Lytechinus pictus: one gene and its partners. The protein of the gene in region 2 purifies or fractionates together with the protein of the main gene of each other region. This does not show direct contact. Links are inferred from orthologs where the notes say so. Each region holds a gene or a part of one and is shown on either strand. Other genes may lie near its edges. The genes, in order: vesicle-associated membrane protein 7-like, syntaxin-8-like and vesicle-associated membrane protein 4-like.

The links.
Region 1: the proteins of syntaxin-8-like (region 2) and vesicle-associated membrane protein 7-like purify together in Homo sapiens (affinity purification with western blotting; 3 studies listed by BioGRID and IntAct, with this or other methods). This does not show direct contact. The link is inferred for Lytechinus pictus from reciprocal best matches to the Homo sapiens genes STX8 and VAMP7.
Region 3: the proteins of syntaxin-8-like (region 2) and vesicle-associated membrane protein 4-like purify together in Homo sapiens (co-immunoprecipitation; 3 studies listed by BioGRID and IntAct, counting the BioPlex papers as one, with this or other methods). This does not show direct contact. The link is inferred for Lytechinus pictus from reciprocal best matches to the Homo sapiens genes STX8 and VAMP4.

Annotation. Positions count from the first base shown.
Region 1 is NW_026974140.1:15,218,201-15,226,843, reverse strand, and holds the start of vesicle-associated membrane protein 7-like, read right to left. Parts: upstream 3,485-8,643; 5' UTR 3,396-3,484; coding exon 3,087-3,395; intron 2,415-3,086; coding exon 2,365-2,414; intron 1,542-2,364; coding exon 1,454-1,541; intron 1-1,453. UniProt on the Homo sapiens protein: Involved in the targeting and/or fusion of transport vesicles to their target membrane during transport of proteins from the early endosome to the lysosome. Required for heterotypic fusion of late endosomes with lysosomes and homotypic lysosomal fusion.
Region 2 is NC_087254.1:19,111,730-19,119,985, reverse strand, and holds the start of syntaxin-8-like, read left to right. Parts: upstream 1-4,779; 5' UTR 4,780-4,953; coding exon 4,954-4,979; intron 4,980-8,256. UniProt on the Homo sapiens protein: Vesicle trafficking protein that functions in the early secretory pathway, possibly by mediating retrograde transport from cis-Golgi membranes to the ER.
Region 3 is NC_087259.1:11,820,221-11,827,964, forward strand, and holds the start of vesicle-associated membrane protein 4-like, read right to left. Parts: upstream 3,688-7,744; 5' UTR 3,573-3,687; intron 1-3,572. UniProt on the Homo sapiens protein: Involved in the pathway that functions to remove an inhibitor (probably synaptotagmin-4) of calcium-triggered exocytosis during the maturation of secretory granules.

The DNA of each region.
Region 1 (8,643 bases), on a different chromosome or scaffold from region 2:
TTGACAACAATGTTCATTAGTTCTTAGCATAATTTACCTTTTCATTCATTCAGTTCTGTCGTTTAATTGTTATTGTATGGTATAGTTAAATAGTTCAAAGTACAGTTTCTTAACTGATCATGCAGTGTTCCAACTTTAATACCCCATACCATAATCCAACTTACCCCATATATGGGGAAGTTGGAACACTTGAGTTGGTTGTGTTCAAGGTGGATTTTTTTCAGTAACCGTCATAAAGTTAAAGAATTTTATGAGGTACATTTGTAGCCCTTAGATTGTTTCTTGAATAAAATCTATTTGGATTTTACAGCCATTTTGGTCAAAATGTTCAATATAACCCCAATCTCCCCTGTCAAAGAATGTAATAAATTGATCTATATTCTGCATTATTTAAGCTCTGATAAATCCTAATAATAAATAAAATGTTTGTTAAATTATATGTCAATTTAGCAAATGAATCCTGTTGTTCAAAATAACATTCTCAACAATAACCGTTTTATGCATTTTGATATTTCAACCGAATATTATTAGACTGTAGATTCTAAAATTAGAGATACATGTATGAATGCATATATTGGGAACCTATATTTTACAAGTTATGATTTTAATACGTTCTTCATTTTCATGAGATTCTTATTACTTTGTAAATAAGTGAATGTAATTTTCATTATTTTTTCATTTAATAAAGATGTTTTTGTGGAATGTGAAACAATAAATAGAATAAAATCAAATAAAAACTATATACCCCTGACATGCTTCCTGCCATATTGCAGATTTGATGCACTAGCTTATACAATTAATATCAAATTTAAAACCATTCTAATCCCTTTAGATCATTTTCATGATTTTTTATTTTTACATTATCAATTGAAAATTCAAATAAGTACAGGTGGCTTGGTGATAGACCCATTAAACTTGGATTTCATTTTAATAAAAAACCAGCTACACTACTATACAGATTCATAAAATCACAAGTGGATGATTATCAGAAATGATCTAGACAATGCCCCCTCTTATCACTTCTAAACAAACTATAAATGCAGTCTCTAGAGTTAAAACAGTCCACACAATATAAACAGTCGATCAATGCAAAATTATATTACAGGTTGTATAGGATCAAATATATTTCTTAGAATTGAATGATAGAATTAGATAATTTATGAACAGAAAGTAAAACTACCACTTGGGCAATTCCACTCTAGGGTATTCAGTCAAAATGACAATGTCTTCATAATATCTTATTTTGTTATAAGATATCTTCAATCTGCATTCATACCTAAATCAAACATCATACTCAATGCCTTTTTTTTCCTTTGCATCTCTTCATTTATTTCTTGTTCTTTCAACTATCTATGTAAATATTTTAGGGACCAGCCTACATTCTTTGCTCTTTTGACCGAGACTGAATATTTTCAAATTGCTATTGTTGACAAGTTTTTACTTCTAGACTTACAATTTGTGCAGCTAATACTCGAGAGAATTCACTGTTCATTGCAAAAGGAAGCGCTGTGTGTACTCTGGACCCATAAGTGGCTGTGAATCTGTAAGTTGGAATAATGACATTAAAAAAAATCATGATATTGAAGATATCTGGTTTCAGTTTCTATTTTGAAAGAAGCTTATACTGAAGGTAAAGTCAATACATTACACAAGTAAAAAATATGTTACAAATTATTTAATGGTGTATTGGGACTTTGGAGAGTGTCTTTATCATGCATTAATCATATTTATTTCATTGGTATCACAGTTATGGCACAATTGTCTTAATTATAGAAAATAAGGGGGTATTCATATCAAATTACATGCAGGAATTAGCCCCTTAAAAAGCTTGCATGCTCTTAAACTGGGGTAATAATGTCCTAGTCCTTTAAGGCACATAGAGACATCATATCATGTGTGCTACTGATTGATACATGTACATGTATTAAACACATTCTTAATCCCACAAACTATATACAGTATGTATGGTTGGTAATAGTGTCTTGCCCAACTTGAGCCACTCAAGTATTACAAATTACAAAAGGAATTTCTTGCTTACTGTTGATCTCAATCAGTGAAGACGCTAATGTACATTTAAAAAAGTTAACAATTGCCTGACTTGTGCTATAGAAACTACAAGTACAGTTTAGAATTATTTTTTTCAATAGGGGGAATTTCTCTAATGCCGAATTGGGTTTGAATAACAAACAAGAAGTAATTGCAGCATATGAATGAAGGGTTGGCAAATATCGATTAATATAGGGATATTCAACGTTCAGACTTTGTAACCTCACATGTGATCAGCTCTTCCATGTCATGTGATATAAAGTCCATAAAATACATTTTTCTATAAAAAGGCAAATAATATTTGAAACAAGCCCTCACTTCTTTTTGATCTCCTGGAGAAATGCAAATGCTCTTGACCTTTCATAGTCCTGGAAAGAAGAAAAATATTCAATGACCAATTAATAAATGATCATTTGAACCATAAAAAGTATATAATACAAAATAAATCTTTTTATTTTCTTTTCAGGGTAATTTAGCAGCATTTTATCATCCTACTACTACACAAAATCACACAAATCCATTTTCTGCATTTATATATTTTTTTATTTTACTGTGTGATATATCAATATTTTAATCATTATACAAACTCTCAGAATAAATATTTAATTACAAGGAATGTAATGTTCCAAATCATTACCATGATAGAAAATAAACATGGTATTCTACAAATGACAGAGCTTCTTCTTTATCACTAAAGTGTTATGTGCTAGCCATCTTCAGAATAAAGGGTGGTTAAATATTTCATATTGGCTTGTATCAGAACTCTTATTGATACAATAATAAAAGTTTGAACAATGTTGTAACAATTAACCTACATTATGTTGTGGTAACAATTAACCTAAACATTACAGATTTTCTCTCAAAGTCATCACTCAACAGTCACATGTAATAGTTTGTCAAGTTGATTCAGAAACGAGTATGACATCTTGAGAAAACAAGATCTTGGGACCAACTACAACTTGAACTTCTTGGACATGGGTTATGGTTATGGCTATGGGAACTAAACCAAGTGGTTCTCATATTGAATGGGTACTACTTACATCATCTGTGATGCACATATATATAATCCTCTCCTCTGAGACGTAATGAAAGAGGTATGCTCCATGTGAGTACGTCAACTTGGCATTCTGTGGAGGAATCTTCATCAGTACTTGCTCTGTCACCTCAGTGAAGTTTCCCTGGCAAGCTGCATAGTTTGCAAGCACCGTGGTGCCACGAGCGATGACTGCATAAAGTATAGGCATCTTGTCTCCGTCAGATGGTCTCCTGTAGATGTGATCAAGACCATCAACCGGGGACTCTGAAAGGTAGGAGAGATATGAACGCTTCTGAATAGGAATTGGAGCCATTTCTTTTTTCTTAATTACACATATCAACTAAAACAGGATGAAATAATTCCACAGAGATTGATTTGTATTCACCCCTGAGGTTTAAAATGGTTAACACCAGCACAGCAACCCAGCATATCACAAACTGAATGGGTTGCTTCTTTGTCCACTATGAAAGCTCTGTGAAACTACATACAAATAACTTTTGCAGCAAACTAATAACACCTGGGTCATTAATTCTTGAGAGGAATTAATGATCACATGAAATTTTGCTGGTATCCAAATGTTTCATATACTTGAGATAGAGGTATTCAATTGCACTGTGCAATATCATAAGTCTTCAAATACATGTAATTTAAAGAACCTTTATTTTTTTTAACTGTTACTTGACACGAGATGCCCGCATCAAAAAGCGACTGTATCCTTCATAAAATTTGTTACAAAATATGGCTGCATGATGACTATTCACATTTGGGTCTTATCTTCAGCTGTAAAACTGTACCATGTTTTGAAATACAGATCCCCAATAAATGTCAAGCAAAGTCCACAGAACATCTTTTCTCCTTTAGCCTACAAGCAGGTGGAATGAATGAAAAATTACCTTGTTGTTGACTTTGTTTATTTCAATGAAATTATCTTTCCTTTTTGCAAAAAGTTGCCAATATTGGAAATTGTCTTGCATATTTCTCTGTGCATCTAGCTACTGGCTGTGGACTGGTGCTTTAAGACAGACTCAAAATGAGAATACCAAAAACAGTATACCAGTAGTGGTTGATCCAATCTTAATAAAAGACGAGCATGCACATATTCTTGCACAGTACTCTAACAAATAACAACACATTTTACTACAATGTAAGAAATATTAAAGAGAATGAAGAACGATGCAAAGAAGCCTGAAACTAAACAAGCAAATATCAGATCTAGCAATATTATTGGAAAGAAATGCAGATTTTAAATTCATCCTGAATTATGTGAAAAAACCCAAAAATTTGAATAATATTTATCACTGATCTCTCCCTCTCTCTTGTTATTATTATTACCGGTACTAGGGAATCTAAAAGATTCTTTAAATGCATTAAAATTGGGCTTCTCATTGTCTTCTTTATTCAAAGTAGTTTGCATATCCTACAAAGACAATGATGGTGGAAGTACTGTAATTAATAATTATCGCACTTCACTATTTGACCTGAGGCTGTAGGTCAGACGAGTCTACTACACCGAGGATATGAGACCTAAACAAGAATACAGCAAATCCATTCACTTCCACTGTTCCACCAGATGAAGTGATCAACATGATCAAGGTCAAAAGGATTACCTCACTTTGTAACATGATGATGATGTCTATGAAAATCTGGAACTTGGAATTGACCAGATTGAAGAGCTCGCCAACAGCAAACTACAGATGCACATGTATGTATTAAATACAGTTTTAGTGGGGATGGGCATAATCCAAACCATAAATGCCCCCACCCCACAAAAAATAGGGATTAATTTATCCGCCTGATGGACATTTTTGCTCTGTAACAGTATTGTAATAAAGAATTAATTCACTATATCATACATTAAAAATGATGGTAGTATATTAATATTTTGACTTCATCCAAAAATAAATAAGCAAAACAAAAGTAAATAAAGAACTATAAATGTATTGTATTTTGGCTTCATGATTTTAATACAAAGAATTAATTTAATAAATTCAAGTTATTTTAATCACTAAGAATAAAAATTTAAATAAATAAAACGGTAAAAAAATGACCTGTCTACCATCCCTTATACCAACCATTTTAACCACTAAAAATAAAAATCATTAACCATTTTAATCACTAAAAAAAAAAAATGCCTACCCTCCCCTTTACCATTTTAATCACTTAAATAAAAATAATTTAGAAAACAAATAAACAACCAAGAAGCCCCACCTCGTCCTTTTATCATTCCAATCACAATATAGAAATAAAAATTAAGATAAAAAGCAACAAAGAATAAAGCAATGCTATTATTGAATTCAATCTCTATAAGAATGAGATTTAAAAAAAAAAAAATACGGATTTAACAAGCCATGTTTCTCCCCTTTTATCATTAATCACTAAGAATAAAAATTATCATAAATAAAACAAAAAAGAGCCCCCCCCCCCTTCAATCACTATGAATAATTTATTCAATAAGAAATGAAATAAAAACAAACAATGAAGCCCCCCCTTTATAATTTGAATCACTAAGATCATAATTTAAATAAAACTAAAGCAAACAATTAATAAGCTCACCCACCCCTTTATTTCAATTAAAAACAAAGAAGACCCTAGACAGCTGGTAGCCGTCTGTTTCGAGGATTTTTTTTTACAATTTTAATTTTTTTTATTTCTCCTCGTACACAGACGGCTCACCATCATGCAGCCACCATTAGAGGGTTAAGAATGCAAAGTCCCCCGATGGGGCTCATCGATTTTTGTCTTTATTTCATAAAAATATATGAAAAGAACTGTGCCAAAATAAAGATTATTTTTCTGTTTTGGCCTGAAATGCACCAAAACAGGAAAATAAACTTAAAAGAGGAAAAAACAGCGACTTACATCGGCTGTCGCGCAACTCCCACTTCCCTTGTTTACCGAACTAATACATAAACATATGGCATTGAGTCCCTGTACAGATCGAGCTAGAACTTCGGTCTCTGTATTTGGTGAGTGGAGCCAACGGCCACCGGAGTTCAGTGGAACAACCAACATAACAGAGACCGAACCTTTTGGTCTAAGACCCTAGCTAGCTCCATCGTCGGCTCGTCGCACTTCATAAAATAATAGTGTCCATAATGAGCGCGCGTGCGTGTTTTGCCAGCTGTCCGGCCATTTAAAGGTACTGTCCAAAAACTAAAAGGGCGAAAGCTAAAGGGGACCGACGTCGGCAGGTCATGAAATGAAATGAAATCAATGCAAGAATATTCTTTAGCACTTGGCAAGGTAAATATAATGATCATCTACATTGAGATCACGAAGTTATCAAAAACCTTTACCCGTCCAAGAATTGTCAGGAATACGGTACCAAATGTACCAGTAAACGATTTCAAACAAAAGCAGTACTGCACTCAGTGAGTGAGTCACTGACTCAAGTTTCCACTTGGCCCTAGTTTCTTACCTCTCCCTCCCTCCCCGATTGAAAAGAGAATCAAAGAGTATTAAAGTCAACCAAGATTCAAACAAGGACTACTCTAGAATAAGGGCAAGGGCGTGTGCACTCTTTTTGGCCCGCAACTGTGGTGGTTTTCTTGCAACGCCCCATGCCACGGGCATGGATTGCTTACCTCGCGGGGAGTTCCCCCGTCATGCCCCTGTAAAGCAATGTCAGTTACGGTACGTATAGAAACAGTCACAAACAAGCCCTCAATTCAAGCTGGCCAGTTTATCTTAATTGATCTTCATTTACATAATGAAACTCAACTCAGTACCAAAGATGGAAACTACAGAAAGCCGAGACGATAGTAAATTCTGATTGACATAGTGCAATCAGTTTGTTCTTACTTACAATGAATAAGCGGGTTACGTTCTCGACTGGTATACTCAAATCTCAACTTCCATTCCCCGAATCTCGTGATCGCGCGCGTGCTGTTTTAATTTGGGCGTTGAAGATGTGATGTGAAACGGATCCGGGAATGGATGTCATCCGATCCCCGGTATGTCAGCGCAGCCGAGATAATCATGACAATGATAGTCATACAATGACATCTCTAATTATTTAATAAAAGAACACAAGAAAGAACAATGGTAGATAATGTTCATACTTTGTTATTTCAGGATGTCTTTTCTGAAATTCAAGTGTTTATTTTACAATTCATCATTTTGAACAGGTGGAGGCACTACGGGCACAAAAGGGAGGTTTGTATGATTCAGATCCGCCCGTTTAGATGAGAGGAGTAATGGTTGTTATATCATTGTCCAAGAGAAAAGGACAATATACCCACTGACACTTAAAACCTAGCAAATAAACTGCTGCCTTGTCGTTTATTGATGAACATTTAAATTAAATTTTGAGTCTAAAGTCCAAGCATTCTCAGGTCCCATTTGACGCTGTTAATTTGTTAATATCTACATTTGTCATATAATTCTCTTCCGGGAGCAGCTAGACCCCCCCCCCATGAAAAATTTCAAGAAATGTCACAAAACCTGGGGGTGATAAATGACACAAAGTGCAGAGGAAGGGATCTCAAAATGATAACTAAAGTTTCTTTGTTCATTTGTTTAACCTTTGTACATGTATATCAACAGTAGCATCCCGGAGTATATAGCATTCCAAACGGTGGTTCAATAGGCATCTTCAGCCCACTATAAACCACTGCCAGTCTTGGGCTCAATAATCACCCTTTTCATTATGGGCAACTAGTCCACTATATTTTCACAGTTGTGATTTGCTCTTCCAAATCGATAGATTTCATTGGTACTGGTATATAACCTGGATAATTTAACCCCGGAGTTGAACTTGGCTAAATGTTCCTATGAAGTTGGACACAATAGCAGTGATTTTTTTTCTCTTCAGATTTTAAGGGAATCTATACCCTTGGTCAAAACATTTTGTGAGAGAGAGAAAAATAAGTACAACAGAAAGAAATAAATCAGACAAAGCAAAAAGAACCGAGATCTCAAAGTTAGTAAAAGTATGTAAATTTCTAATTGCAACATGGCAACTGAGTATTATGACAAGTGGTGGGGACAACTATCCCAGAGGCCATGCACTTAATTATCAGGAATTTGTGGTTATATCCTTAAAGGTCAAGTCCACCCCAGAAAGATCATGATTTGAATAAACAGATAAAAATCAAACAAGCACCGTCGATGCTGAAAATTTCATCGAAATCGGTTGCCGTAAAAAAAGAAAGTTATGACATTTTAAAGTTTCGCTTAATTATTTTTCACAAAACAGTTATATGCACAACTCAGTGATATGCAAATGTGAGAGCCAATGATGCACCTCACTATTTCTTTTGTTTTTTTATTGTTTGAATTATAGACAATATTTCAATAATAATTAAAGACCAGGCGGGTGTTTCATAAAGCTGTTCGTAAGATAAGAGCGACTTTAAGAACGACTGGTGATCCTTTCTTATGCGCTAAACCGTCGCCAATGAATATACCATTTACCACAAGAAAGGATCACCAGTCGTTCTTAAAGTCGTTCTTAACTTACGAACAGCTTTATGAAACACCCACCAGCTTTATTGAACCACAAAATGTTATAACAATGGTAGTTCCACATGTTCGGGAGGAATAAAATCAGTCAGTCTGCA
Region 2 (8,256 bases):
CATTAATATACAACAAGAAAAGCAGTGGGCCTAGGAGTGATCCTTGCGGTACACCGCAAGAAATAGTTTTCATTTGAGATTTATGGTCTTCTATTGAAACAAATTGTTTTCTGTTAGTTAGGTAACTCGTGAACCATTCCAAGGCCTTTCCACGCACACCATAATGTGATAACTTGTAAAGCAAAATATCATGATTAATCGTGTCAAAGGCCTTGGAAAGGTCCAGGAATACACCAACTGTGTGCAGAGAATTATCAATAGCATTTGCCACTTTGTGAATAAAAGGATCGTCTTCTCCTAGTACATGTACACTTTGAAAACAAATACTTTTAAATGGAGTGTTTATTTACTCTTCCGTTTTTCTGAGGTCGAGCAAGTCTATCAAAGTATATTCAACCAAAACGATTTGTTTTGTATTGTACTTATATTTTGGTAATTGTCTTCTTGCACATCGCTGTGCCATATTTTTAGCATGTCATGCTCTTTTTACACTTGATTTGATTGTCAGTCTTGAATCTATTTTCCATAATTTCTACTTTATTAATATGAATGTGAATCAGCAAGAAAGTTCACAAAACCTTCGTACCAGTCGTGTATCGATTTGTAAATTATATCATCGCTATATTTATTTATCAAGAGATGCAAGTAAAGTCGTTATTATCGTAAAACCTACTATCATTATGATATACAAGTATTTTTTGTTCACACGTTTATTATATGATGGATAGTAATATAGATTTGGAACTAAATGAGGTCATTGCAACGTCATCTTGCCAATATTATTTACCCCATGAATTCAAAAATAAGATTACTTACCAAGAAAATCATTTCAGTATTCTTCATGTAAATTCAAGGAGTCTATGTAAGAATTTTGATACTTTTCAAGAATTGCTTTCTTCTGTTGAATATGAATATAGTATTATATGTGTAACTGAAACATGGCTAAATGACAAATCTCCAGATTTATTTAATATAAGTGGTTATTTACTTCTTCATGTTGATAGAAATAATATGAAAGGTGGTGGTGTTGCTATATATATAAAAGAATCTTATCAATTTTTTTATCAGGAAAGACTTACAATTTGTGAGTAATAGCGCTGAATCATTATTTGTTGAAGTTGAAAATTGTAATTCCAAAAATTCTGTTATAGGTGTTGTTTATCGACCACCCCACTTAAATACTGAATCCTTCTTCTCTGATATAGATATTATTCTTCATAAACTTACAACCGAAAATAAAGATATATATTTATCTGGTGATTACAATATTGATATTCTAAATATTAATAAACAAAGCCAAACATTTTTCAATGTATTGAATTTGTATGCATTATATCCTTTTATAGATAAACCAACACGTGTTTCTGCTGTAAGTTCTACTTTAATCGATAATATTTTTTCCAACACTGACAAGCGACATATTTCATCTGGTATATTATATTCTGATGTTTCTGACCATCTTCCTATATTTATTATCACTACACTTGGACAAAGTAAAAAGCCTGCTACAAATATTACTTATATTCGAAAGATGTCTCCTGAGAATATGCAAAATTTTATAACCGAACTTGAAGCCGAATCTTGGGTTGATGTTTTATCCTGTAATGACGTTGATATAGCATATAAATTATTTATTGATAAACTGCATTGCTGTTTAAACCATACAATTCCAAAAGTTAGACGAAAAAGGTCATCAAAAACTCCTAGAAAACCATGGATTACTTTTGGGATTGTAAAGTCAATTCGAAAAAGGAACAAACTTTATAAAACTAGTTTGAAGAATCCTTCCTCTGAAAATATTAGTAAATATAAAAGATATAGAAATTTTTTAACATGTATCATCAAAAATGCAAAGAAAACATATTATTCACAAAAATTTGAAAATGCTAAAGGAGATATGTCAGCTACTTGGAAAAATATTAACGAATTATTGGGGAAAGCAAAGGATGCTAATTTAAATCATAAATATTCACATGGTGATTTTGTATATGAATCATTAGATGATATTGTTAACGGTTTTAATGATTATTTTGTTAATGTTGGGCAGGAACAAGCATTAAAAATACCACATACCACAACTAATTTTGCAGATTATTTACGCAATTCATGTCAACATACATTGTTTTTTAATCCAACAAATTCTGAGGAAATATTGAAAATCGTAAACAATCTTAAAAACAGTCGTTCTTTTGGACATGACGAGATTAGTAATTTTCTCCTTAAAAAGATTATATTAAGCATTATAACTCCTTTTGTTCACATATGTAATATTTCAATGTCAACCGGAATTTTTCCACTTCATATGAAAATTGCGAAAATCATTCCAATTTATAAAAAGGACGATCGGACACTCATTGAGAATTATCGCCCTATCTCTATTCTTTCGTCATTTTCAAAAATACTTGAACGTCTTGTTTACAATAGATTAGTTTCATTTTTGTCATTACATAATTTATTAAATCCATCCCAATATGGTTTTCGCAAATTTCATTCTGCTGATCTAGCTCTTGTTGATCTTTATGATAAAATTTCTTCTCTTTTAGCAAAAAAGGAACATGTAATTTGTGTTTTCATGGACTTAAGTAAAGCGTTCGATACCCTGGATCATACTATATTGCTTTACAAATTAAAATATTTTGGTGTTAGAGGTACTACTCTTAATTGGTTTAATAGTTATATTTCAAATAGGCAACAATTTACATGTATAAATTCAGTAAGTTCTAATTCACAGTATATTAATTGTGGTGTGCCTCAAGGCTCAATTCTGGGCCCGCTTTTATTTCTTCTGTATATAAATGACATAGTATATTCTTCACCCTTATTACAATATATTCTTTATGCTGATGACACAACAGTTATTTCTTCAAACTCGAATAAAAGAATGCTTTTTGAAATGTTGAATAATGAATTGCCCAAAATATCCACATGGTTCCAAAGTAATAAATTGTCTTTAAATTTGCAAAAAACATATTATATTGATTTCAAGAACTCCAAAACAATAGCTGATCATTATACAGAAGAAATAAAGATAAGTGGGATTTCTATCGAACAAAAATATAATGTGAGATTTTTAGGTGTCATTCTAGATGAGTTTTTAACATGGGATGACCATGTATCTAAAATATTGACGTCTGTATCAAGATGTATAGGTATAATCAGGGAAGTGTTATAACACTTCCCTGGTATAATGTTTAAAGTTAAACACTATTTACCTCCTCAAGCATTACTCTCAATTTATAATTCTATTTTACTTCCACATATCACTTATTGCAATATTGTATGGGGCTCATTCAAATAAAAAAATCACCATATCCTTTTACTTCAAAAGAAAGCTATTCGTTTGTGTGCCGACGCTGGTTTTTATGAAAATACTGGTCCCCTCTTTAACCGTTTCAAGACTTTAAAAATTGATGATATACATAAATTTCAAATTGCTTTGTTTATGTTTAAGTTTCACTGTCGCCAATTACCATTAACATTTGATCATATGTTCCTTTTGAATTCGTTTATTCATAATTATCCTACGAGAACCTCAACAAATTTACATTTATCAAATCCGCTAACTGCCTTAGCCCATAGGTCAATAAGACATACTGGTCCAGATACCTGGAATGATATAGCTTTAACAATACGTGGTGCTCCTACATTGAACAAATTTAAGTTTGAGTTTAAGCATTCCATTATTAGCACTTATTTGAGTTAAGATATTGTTCTATCATCAGTTTCATGACTTTCATCATATTGCATACTTTATTTTTTGTATTATTTTATACGACGTATCTATGTTAAACATAGTAATATTAATCGATACACGGCTGGTGTGTTATTATCATTTGATTTATTCTTGACATGCTTGATGTGTTTTCCTTTTGGCCCTGCTTTTACTGTAATTTTTAAATATGACTTATATTGATTTTATTCAGGGCCGTAGTGAATGAATTCTTTCAAAAATTCCTATTAAAAAAAATCCCCTTTCAGGACCGATTGTCTAAACTTATCAGCTTGCTCTGTGCGCTTGCCGCTCGCATTTTGATTATTGAGATGTATCCTCATTATGAATTCTAACAGTCTTTAAAATGCCCCTTTACAGTTTATCATCAGTATACGCATCTTGTTCGTTTTACAAGTGTTTAAAATGGTCCTTTTTAGGACTGAAAAAATCCAACCAATCACCTCATGCTTTGCGGTCGCATTATTAATTATGGAGCACATCCATGTAATGAGCCCATACAAAGCAATTTGTAAAATATCACATTTTTAGGTAACAGTTCATTTTATTATTGATTTGGCTAGATACGCATCCTGCTGGATTACAAAGAGTGTTCTAGTAGAGCGGATGAGCCGAACAATTGTGCAAATTATGACTAAAGCATGAAACTTTCACAAGTATTAGTATATGCCGTAAGATTTATTTTAAAGATGGGAGGTAAATTTATTAATGCCATTTTCGGCCGTTGCCATGGCAACGGATTAATTTCTCCAAATTAACACACATTCCCATGTAAATGGTAAATAAACATGATATAGATGACCAAAATGATAATTTTCAGGCTCCCAATTGAATACATATGAAATTTAGAAATATTCAAGATCACCAAGATAGTTCCAATTGGTCCGTTACCATGGCAACGGCTTGTTTTTCCCCAGAAAAATAAAAATTGTTGTGATTTTTGGAGCTTATCCGCTCTACTATTCAGAGTGTACCTTAATTCCGATTTTAACTTTAAAACGATCTAGGATGCAGCTTCATTATGTTTTTTTTTCAATCACGATTTGGGTGTTTCAGCGACACCATAACATTCGGTCTTGTGATGTCAAGCTTGAACTAAATCTCTTTCACATCTTTTTAATTGGCAGATAACCATGTATAAAGCGTGATTATTGTAAAAGTGCATGAAAAGATAGTTCTTTGTTATTTTGCATTGGTATAGGGTGACATAATTTTGTTGAAAGATGGCAGGATTCGGTGGAGATGCGTGGTAAGTTGTGGCTAAATTACTTGTTTACATTTTCCTCTCAATGTAGTCCCATTCGTTGATATCCGAGTTAGTGACACAAATATTTGTGCATTCGTTGATGAACACCTGTCATTTCAAGACAAGTGGACTAGTGGTTAGGGTTGGTGGGTTTTTATTATGTTATCGCTAAGAAAGTATATATGCTTGTAAGAAAATAAAGAAGGCTATATGAACAAAAATACCTAGCCAAGACGATATTTTGTGATGATATTTTTATTGAATATTTATAATTAGGGCCTAGGGCCTATAGTATAGGCCTATAGACATAGTCTATTTGACTATTTCATTTTCATGATAATTTAATTTTAATTGATGAAACGTCAATCGTCAATATCAGAAAATGTTGTTGTTGTTTGGTTTTAATTTTAACGGTGCTTTTATTCAAAAAAGAATATATGCGCCAATCAAATCTATTCTATTAAGTATTATGTCAAAAAATATATTTTTATTCACCCAAGAATTCATTACATGCCGCCGCGCACGGAAAAATCAAGCCATAGAAGTCGTGTGTTGTGGACCCAAGAAGTGAGATCCCAGCACGCGCGACCCACTAGTTAGAAATCCACTGCCAAACGCGGTTCGTGGTGCGAGGTTAGTATACTAATACTAACCTCGCAATACGTGTGAGTGATTTTTATTGTATTGTTTTCAGTAGGGCCTTATTAAGATTTGAGAAGTATAAGGCCGTTAAATTTAAGATTTTGCAAGCGCACGCAAGCTTTGTTGCACTTAAATACAAGTGCAAAATATATATATTTAACTGGGCGTTGTGGCATGTGCCTGTAATCCAAGCCATGTGGGGAAGTTACTAATTGATGCAGAGCAGAGGTTCAAGCCCTGGTCACGTCTTTCGGATGGTGACGTTAAAGGTCGTTCCCAGACGTAAATAATCATATCTGATTGATACACATCTGACAAAACTCAAAATACACACACACACACACCATGGGGTCACTTTCTCACTGCAACCACCCACTTGTTCACTGCAACCATCCTGCCTGTGGGGAATCTACAGGTTGGACTATGGCATGCCAATGCTGTACAGAGCACACACTTTAAAAAATGATTAAAATATCACTTTTGTGACCAAAATTACTAATTTCCATACAGTTGCAATCTATTTTTCATTTGTAACTTGGGAATAATTTTTGTATTCACTAGAGCGCTCAAAAACTTGAATTTTGGGCATATTTTTGTGTACGCCCTCTATTGGTGGAAAATAATATGGCAAGAAAATTTTCATTTTTCATCTCTATTTTTAATTAAGAAAAAAATAATTTAAAGAATCAAATTTACTAAAGGGCCAAGTTGTATGACGAATAGGTGTAATGGAAACTGTCAGTGTAAAAAAATCAAGCATTTGTCCCAAAGAAAAAGAGAAAATAAGCCAAACATTGCCATCCTTATTTTGCCACACATGGAGATATAACTGAGAACAAGGTTATATCATAACCTTGTTCATTGAATGAGTGGCAACCACCCTGCCTGTGGGGAATCTACATGTAGGACTATGGTATGCCAATGCAGTAGACAACACACATTTAAGAATTTCATTAAAATATCACTTATGTGACCAAAAATACTAATTTCCATACAGTTGCACTTTAATTTTCATAAGTAACTTGGGGATAATTTTTGTATTCACCAGAGCACTCAAAAACTTGAATTTTGGGCATAGTTTTGTGTATGCCCTCTATTGGTATAAAGTAAAATTGCAAGAAAATTTTCATTTTTCAATCTCTATTTTTAATGTAGAAAAAATAAAAGAATTCAATTTACTCAAGGGCCAAGTTATAATTGAGTAGCTGTATGAAAACTGACAATGTCAAAAAATCAAGCTTTTGTCCCCAAGTACAAGAGAATTGCCAACCTTATTTAAGGTGTAGTGGTCCACCTGCATTCCCCCCAATCAGTTTTATCGGGAGAAGAGACCTGCGGGTCATAGTGATTCAGTTCGCTTTTCACCTCCCAGGCACAGGTGACGCCAAACAAATAATAAAATATAATAACCACACATAGAGTAGTAACAGAGAACATTATATCATAACCTTGTTCATTGAATGGGTGCGTGGGGTATGGTATAACTTGAAAAAAAATCAACATCATATCACATTGGTAAACACCAGATGAAGGTGGAAAGTGCAGAGCAATACATAATATTATATAATAAATGGTGATGTCTATAAATTATGAGACGTCTTATAAATATAAAAAGTATATTTTTGCATCATTCGTAGGTCATTCCTAGCTTCATCTGTGGGGCCTGGTGCCCTCCTGCTTGCTGCCCCGTTTACCGACAGTTTAAGGGGCAAGCCCGGTCAGCACACTACTCACAGGAGCTCTAGCAAAATATTAAGGGCACCAGCCCCCACAAGACTAAATGAGTCATCAGCAAATATTATTAGCAAAAATCCTCTCCTGATTCCTAGCCGTAGTTGGGTCATACAAGATTTGTTAACGGACGAGTCTCACATGTACGCAATGTTCCTTGTGCATGGGTCTTTTTTCTTCTAAATATTGGTCTAATTAACACTATCATAAATAAAATCTTTCCGAAACAACATTGTTAAAACATCAATTTGAAGGTTTTTGATAAGAAAATGAAAAAAAAATTGATTGTGTTATCAACATCTTATTCTTAAAAGTAAAAAATGTATTTGTACAATGTACATGTGTAGCACACAATTATTTCATGAGAAAGTCTTTGAAATCAAGTTTAATTGTCGTTATATTATGATATGTTTATAACTGGGCAATTCCATAAAATATGTACGTCCGGCCCCCTATATTTGGGACCTTCATGAAATTTTCTGTCTCTGATTTTTGGTTCTTTTGACAGCCTGTAATGCTGTCAAATGACCATGACTTGTTCAGTTTATGAAGAGAAGTAAAACTTGAGAAAAACGGGGGTCGGATGTACAAAAAGGTTGATTATTTTACGGAATTGCCCAACTGGCACATAAACATTGATTTAACTTTGTGAAATCCTGAAATCTTAGCTAAAATCAATAGCTCTGAACATCACCAACACAGAAAATCATATGTGGGACAGTTTATTAATATTGCTAAGACAAATACCAGATATTTTGATGGAATGCCTTGCTTATTTTGCTAATTTCTCAGAAATCACAAATTTTCTTCCAGAGCCTTTGTGCACATATTTTTTAAAACTTATTTTATTAGATTCTGTTCGAATTCATTTTGAAATCATTACCACAACTGGCTTTTATCTTTAACC
Region 3 (7,744 bases), on a different chromosome or scaffold from region 2:
TCTTGGATTGAGCGACCATCTTGGGCTTATTTTGACCATTACACTCTCAGCCCCAGAAAAAGAAACACAGTTTCCCAAACTTCAGTTCAGTCTTGGACAATACCATGACATATGTGAGGAGCTTGATAAAGTTGAGTGGGAACAGTCAATGAAGGACATGGATACTGAACAGTCCTGGTCATTCTTCCATACAATCTTGACAGACATTATGAAGAAACACATACCGTGTTCTTCATCACGGCGACGTAAGAAAAAGCATAGATGGATGAACAATCAAGCACTCAGACTGCATGGACAAAAGCATCGTGCATGGCAACAAGCCCAAGTCACTAAACACCCAACTGACATTGCTAGAGCTAGGAGACTAGCAAAGGCTCTTCAATGCCTCACAAGAGATCTGCGAAGTAACTTCGAAAAGGACCTTGCGAAGAATGTGAAGACGGATCCAAAAGCATTCTGGAGATATGCATCTGATAATCTAAAGACCAGAAAGGGGCTTCCTGATCTCAAAAAGACGGATGGTACCTTCACTTCAACAGATGAAGAGAAAGCCGAAATCTTGAATGCTTTCTTTGAGACAACATTTACTGAAGAGGACACTTCTTCCATCCCACAGCTTGAACGCAGACAGTCAGCTGGATGCTTATCTGCTCTAGACATAACCCCAGAGGATGTACATCGCAAACTTGATCTGCTTTCCAAATTTAAGAGTGCTGGACCGGATGGTATCCATCCTTGCATTTTACGGGAAACGGCACCTTCAGTGTGTACACCATTGGCCATCATCTACACTAAGTCGTTCAAAGAAGGCAAGCTTCCTTCAGCATGGAAAGCAAGTCACGTTGTTCCAGTTTACAAGAAGGGAAACAAGTCTGAAGCCACTAATTATCGACCAATAAGTTTGACTTCAGTACCCTGTAAGATCATGGAGTCGCTGATCAGAGACAAGATCGTTGATCATCTGATGGAGAATGAACTAATCAGCGATTCCCAACATGGATTTGTCCCAGGTAGATCAACTGTTACACAGCTGCTCCAGACACTAGAGGACTGGACATCCTTACTGGATAAAGGTGAAAAGGTTGATGTTGTCTACCTAGATTTTAGAAAGGCCTTTGACAGTGTACCCCATCAACGTCTTGTGGCAAAACTAGATGCATACAACATTCAAGGGAGCTTCAAAACTTGGATTGCTGATTTTCTCAGTGGCCGAACCCAGAGGGTAGTTGTAAACAATGCCAGATCTCAGTGGTGCACGGTAAAGAGCGGGGTGCCCCAGGGTAGCGTGCTCGGCCCGACATTGTTTGTGTTGTACATCAATGATCTTTCTGATGTTATGGAATCCACTCTAAGGATCTATGCAGACGACACTAAGGCCTTCTCTTCTGTCTCCTCTCCAAATCAATGTGAAGTTTTTCAAGCAAGTTTGCACTCACTGATGGACTGGTCCTCAAAGTGGCAACTTCAATTCAACACTGACAAGTGCAGTGTTTTGCATCTTGGATCAGGTGACCAAAGAGAGCACTACAACATCGGGAGTACAGCACTGAATGCAGTTAGAGAAGAAAAGGATTTAGGGATCATCATTGACGACGATCTAAAATTCCACAAGCAAGTGTCAAATGCTGTCAATAAGGCAAACGGGGTACTAATCAGCATCAGACGTACTTTCCAGTGTCTTGATTCGACCACTATCCCCAAACTATTTAAAGGGTTAGTGCGGCCACTCCTGGAATATGGAAATGTCATCTGGTCACCACAGTACATTGCTGATGCTAAGGCTGTCGAGAGAGTTCAGAAGAGAGCAACCAAAGTAATCTCCAGGATCAAACATCTTCCATACAAGGAAAGGCTTAAACACCTGAACTTACCATCCTTGGAGTACAGAAGAAAGAGAGGTGACATGATTCAAGTGTATAAGATCACTCATGAAGTCGACAGGCTTAACCCAGACCACTTTTTTCAGCTAGCTGACAGTACTACAAGAGGTCATAGGTTCAAACTTGTAAAGCCAAGATGCAGAACAAATGTGAGAAAGCAAGCTTTTAGTCACCGAGTAGTCAATGATTGGAACTCTCTCCCAGCTGAGGTAGTTGAAGCTCCCACAGTAGACACCTTCAAAATCAGGCTAGACCGACACTGGAAAGATAAGCATTATGATTCCCACTACTCTTAACTGGATATGAGAAGTCAATTTTCACCAACTTGCCCCACTGCCTCCTTAAACTTATTGAAACTTATTGAAGCATGAAGGAAGCTGACAAAATTAGAAGATAGACCTGGAAGCTCGACTGCTAATTCAGCATTCTTCCAGTATTTGCGGTAAGGTAAGGTAAGGTAAGTCACTGGTTTTTTTTTCCTTTTAAGTTTATTTTTCCCTGTTTTGGTGCATTTCAGGCCAAAACGGAATAATAATCTTTATTTTGGTCCAGTTCTTTTTATATATTTTCATGAAATAAAGACAGAAATCGATGAGCCCCATCGGGGGGACTTTGCACTGTTAGCTCCCTAATGGCAGCTGCACGATCGCGAGCCATCACAGTGTACATACAAAGAGAAATAAAAAATTTAAAAAAATGTTTAGGCCTAGGCGGTAGGCCTACTTTAAATTAAAAAAAACTCGAAACAGACGGCTGCCAGCTATCTTGTCTAGGCAGAAGGCACGGCACAGAATGCCAGAAATATTCCCTGCATTATTTTCAGCCATCATTACATCACGTTAGTCACACTCAAACACTGACAAATGAAACAAATCAAGACAAGACACACTTGTGACAGGCAGTGGAACTGCAGTGCAGTGGAAGTGCTAGTGCCAGTGGTTGCACTTGCAATGAACTAACCCAGAGAGCTCCCGCCCGCGCAGCGGGCGGGAGCCCAGAAGCTTACCGTGTATTTTACCATTGTCACCGGACTAGGGTTATTTATGGTCTAAATATTTCTCCAAATGAATTGTGAAAACGGAAAGTATATATGGATGAAGGTCTAACGAGTGGCAGATTCCTGACATCTGGGCACAGTCTGGAACCTCAAAAAAACGAAAAGTTCTCTCCTTCTACCCAGTCTCGATCGGCCATTTTGTTACAATTTTTAACAAAAATGGCCGATCGAGACGGGGTAGAAGGAGAGAACTTTTCGTTTTTTTGAGGTTCCAGACTGTGCCCAGATGTCAGGAATCTGCCACTCGTTAGACCTTCATCCATATAATCGTGGTAATTCTATACTTTCTGTTTTCACAATTCATTTGGAGAAATATTTAGACCATAAATCACCCTAGTCCGGTGACAATGGTAAAATACACGGTAAGCTTCTGGGCTCCCGCCCGCGCAGCGGGCGGGAGCTCTCTGGGTTAGCAATGAACATGCAGTGCCAGAGTCGCCGATCGACCAGGGCCCGGGTCGCCGGCCGTGCGTACGGTTGCCTGGCTTCGCTTCAGCTAAATAGTAAATGATCGGGGATCAGTCGACTCGAGTCGATCGACTCCGAGTACGATAGCTAATCAGTACAGACTGTGAATGAAATCAAATGACTAATTTTCTATGTCATGAATTTAATGAAATGTGGTAAATACCCACCTTTCACTCAAATGAGAAACATTCTGCAGAATTAAATGCTTGTTTTCATAAAATAAAGTTTCCAACTCGATCTACGTCTGTCGTCTTCGGCCTCCGACTAACTGGTATTGGTAACGTAGATGGCGTATTCCTCTGTACAAGATGTGGCGCAGATATTGTTTAGAACTTAACTATGCAATGAATTGATTGATTGATTGGTTTATTTTATTTGGCAAGTCACCAGAACATAAAACAACAGGCTTGCACAGGATGACCCACGAAAGCTCGAAAGCTTAATTATTTCCAAAAGAAAAATCTAAAAGAGGACTAGTATGGCTAACATGACTCCGATGCATATTAAACAATAAAAATCAAAAAGGAGCAAAAAATGGAATACAAAACTTTTGACTTCAAAATGTATTTGTAGATCGTACGTGGCTGCATGTATGCATGCAGGCGCGGATCCATTATATCCCCCAAAAAACAAAAAATAATAATGATAATACAATGAAATAATATAATTATATGGGCAAGAGAAAGGGAAAGAGGTTAAAAAGAGAAGGAAAATGAAAAAGAATGAATAAAGAAAAAGTGTGAGATTAAAGAAGGTATTAAGGGAAAATGCTAATAAAGAAAAGGACAACAGTTTCATTAAAGAAAGAAAAATAATTAATCGAAAGCGAAATGGAAAAGGGAAGAAAAGAAAAAGAAGGGAGATGGAGGATGGAAAAAAAAAAATGAAAGGAATGAATTTCAAGAGAGGGTGGAGAAAAGACAAGAAGCCTATAGGAAAAGGAAGAGGGTGAAGAAAAGGGGAAAGGCGGTCAAAGGAGAAGCAAATTAAAAGAATGGAAACGGTATTTACATGGTTGAAAGGGGAAAAAAGGTAAAAAGGGGAATAAAATTTGAGAGAGCCCCTACCCCCTTGATGATTTCCATCAAATATATGGAAGATAAAAAGAAGGGAAAAAAGAAAATGAAGTAAAATTAAGCTCCACCGAGGGGTGCGAAAATTGCCCTATATGGCTCCCGAGATGCCCCTGCATGCCTGCCATCTTCTCACGGACAATGACAAAAGGAACAAGGAAAATAAGTGCATGGAAGGGAAATTAAAGGAAACTTTAAAAAAAAATGTTAAAGGTCAAGTCCACCCCAGAAAAATGTTGATGTGAATAAATAGAGAAAAACCAAACTAGCATAACGCTGAAAATTTCATCAAAATCGGATGAAAAATAAAAAATTATTTATGACATTTTTAAAGTTTTGCTTATTTTTCACAAAACAGTGATATATGCACAACTAGGTGAGTCAGTCGTTGATGTCCATCACTCACTTTTGTTTTTTATTGTTTGAATTAGGCCTATACAATATTTCATTATTTATCTATATGACAATAAGGACCAAAGGGGGACCAATTTGACTGAACCATGTCATTAAACAATGCTAATTCTACATGTTCAGGGAGGAATCAATCGTTGTATCACTTGACAATGAGGAGAAAATTAGAATATATATAATAAAATACAAAAGAAATAGTGAGTGGATGACGTCATAGTCTCCTCATTTGCATACCAGCCAGGATGTGCATATAACTATTTCGTGAAATTAAGCGAAACTTTAAAATGTCATAACTTTCTTATTTTACACCCGATTTTGATGAAATTTTCAGTGTTATGCTTGTTGGATTTTTCTCTTTTATTCAAATCAACTTTTTTGTTAGGGTGGACTTGTCCTTTTTTAATTGTGCCAAGTGTGGATATTAATTAGACCAACTGGTTATGAGACGAAATGGTTATTAGACGAAGTGATGATTGGACCAAATGGTTATTAATGGACCAAATAGTTTTTAGACGAAATGTTGATTGACGGAATGACATTTGGTGAGTGGACGAGTTGGCAGCGAGTATGCGAATTGGCAATTTACCATGCATTGAGATCACGCACGCACCATCATGACGTCATCTTCGCGGGAATCTCTGAAAATAGGTCACTGGCAAATTTTTAAGATCGGTAAGAAAGACCTGTGAACTTGAAGATTTGTGATTTTATACATTGATTTCGATTCTTTGATAGTTGATCCATTGAGAAATGATTCATTCTATATATGTGTGAATGATAAACTCTTTGATTTGAGCTTAAACTAAATTTTTATTGCTTACTAGTGCGTTGTTTGGAAGATGAAAAGAATTTACTGACAGTGATTGCTGTGAATGGGACTGTAGTGTAGATGTTCGAGTAGCTTATTACAAAAATACACACTCGTCTAACGTTAGCTCTGTACTGTAGACTGTAACAAGTGTAACCGTAAGTTGTATGATGGGGGGACCTAAACTAAAGCTACGGCTACGCGCGCACTTTGTTTTCAAACGATAAAAACTATGCCAATTTTAATATTTTAACCATTTGTCTTTCACTAATTTGTAATTAATATTCTCTTAACCAAGAAGAAAATATCACAGAACTCACTAAATTAGTATTTAGACTTTAGTAATGAGCATGATCGGTTAAGCCTTAGTTAAAGGAGAATGAAACTCTTGGAGCAAGTTAGCTTTTGTGAAAGCAGAAAAATCAAAGAATAAGATCAACAAAACTTTGAGTAAAATAGGACTAGCAATAAAAGAGTTATGAGCATTTGAATGTCGAGATCACTAATGCTATGGAGATCCTCTCATTGGCAATGCGACCAAGATCTGTGATGTCACACACGTAGAACTCTCCCATTTGGACACTGAAAATATACCCCAAAACATCTCTTTTTGCTCATTCTAATCATATGACAAACGATTCATCAATGATATAATGTTGTGAAACCTCTGTACTTGTCATCTCATAAAGAGAACACCTCACCTTGTGATAGACTCTATAAAAGTGAGAATATAAGTGAAATAAGTACTAAAGTATTGAGGGAGTTGTACGTGTGTGATATCACAGATCTTGGTCGCATTGCCGATGGGAGGATCTACATGGCACTAGTGATCTCAATATTCAAATGCTCATAACTTTCTTATTATTCATTCAATCTTCCTCAAACTTTCAACAATATGTTTCTTTGATTTTTCTCTTTGATATGGATTCAGATGGTTTCAAGGGTTTCATTCTCCTTTAAGGGTTTTTTTTTTTTTTCTATCAAAATTGCTTTTAAGATATTCTTTGATATCTCAGGTTTCAAAGAACTCGGTTTCATGAAGATTGATGAATCCGAAAGTACTGGAATAGTCCATTTTATTCGTGGGGGTGCTATTACCTCTCATCACGGACGGACATTTTTACTCAAATCAAATTCTCTCTAGTTTTATGGTTTTTAAAGTTATTCTAATTTGGTTTGGATGTTCTTGCACTCTAAACATTAATCTATAGTATTATCAAACAAAAATTAGTAGAAAAAAAATATTGGGAAGTAATTTTTTTTGGTAGGTGTGAACATTTCCATTATTGGTCAAAGTTAAGCTATTTAGATAGAAACAATAAAAATGTTCAAAAATTCTGAAAACCACATTTCTATCATGTCCGTCCGTGATATGGCACATTTAGTGGCTACCTATGTTTGTAGGTAACCATGGCAACAAACTTTTTTCATCATTCAGCATACTTTGTCCTAAGTAACCCTTCACTATAAAACAAAAAGGAACCATGTTCATCTTATTCCCAATTTGTTACAAGCCTTCAAAGTTTTCAAAATCTATCAAATGTCCGTCCGTGATGAACCGATCACGCTCTAATACGAAAAACCCGCCGTGTTTTCCGAACACCTCTTGTCTTGATTTCGTCGCCGATGTAGAAGGGGTCCTAAAGTAAGCTACGCACTCGATTTATCATGCAAAGAAATAGTATTTCCTGTGCCTTAATTTCTAAAATATGTTCGTATTATTATAGGGAAATATGAAATTAAAGTGAACATAAATAAAAAATTCCAAACATTTGCTGGTTTTCTCTGCATTCAAGAATTTATTGCAGCCTCTGTAAAAAAATTGAATAGGATCGTTCGTCACTCTGCAGTCACAGCTTCACACACAGAGCTCGAGTGCGCATTTATTTTCCCATTGAAATTGCATGCGCGATGGAGTGGTGCGTAGCTTTAGGACCCGCGCAGCTTTAGGAACCCCTACCATAACTCGGTACGTGCACTAGCTAACCCAGGGCCAGGACTCGTCCGTGTAATAGTAATACTAGTCAAACATTAGACGGCTGGCAGC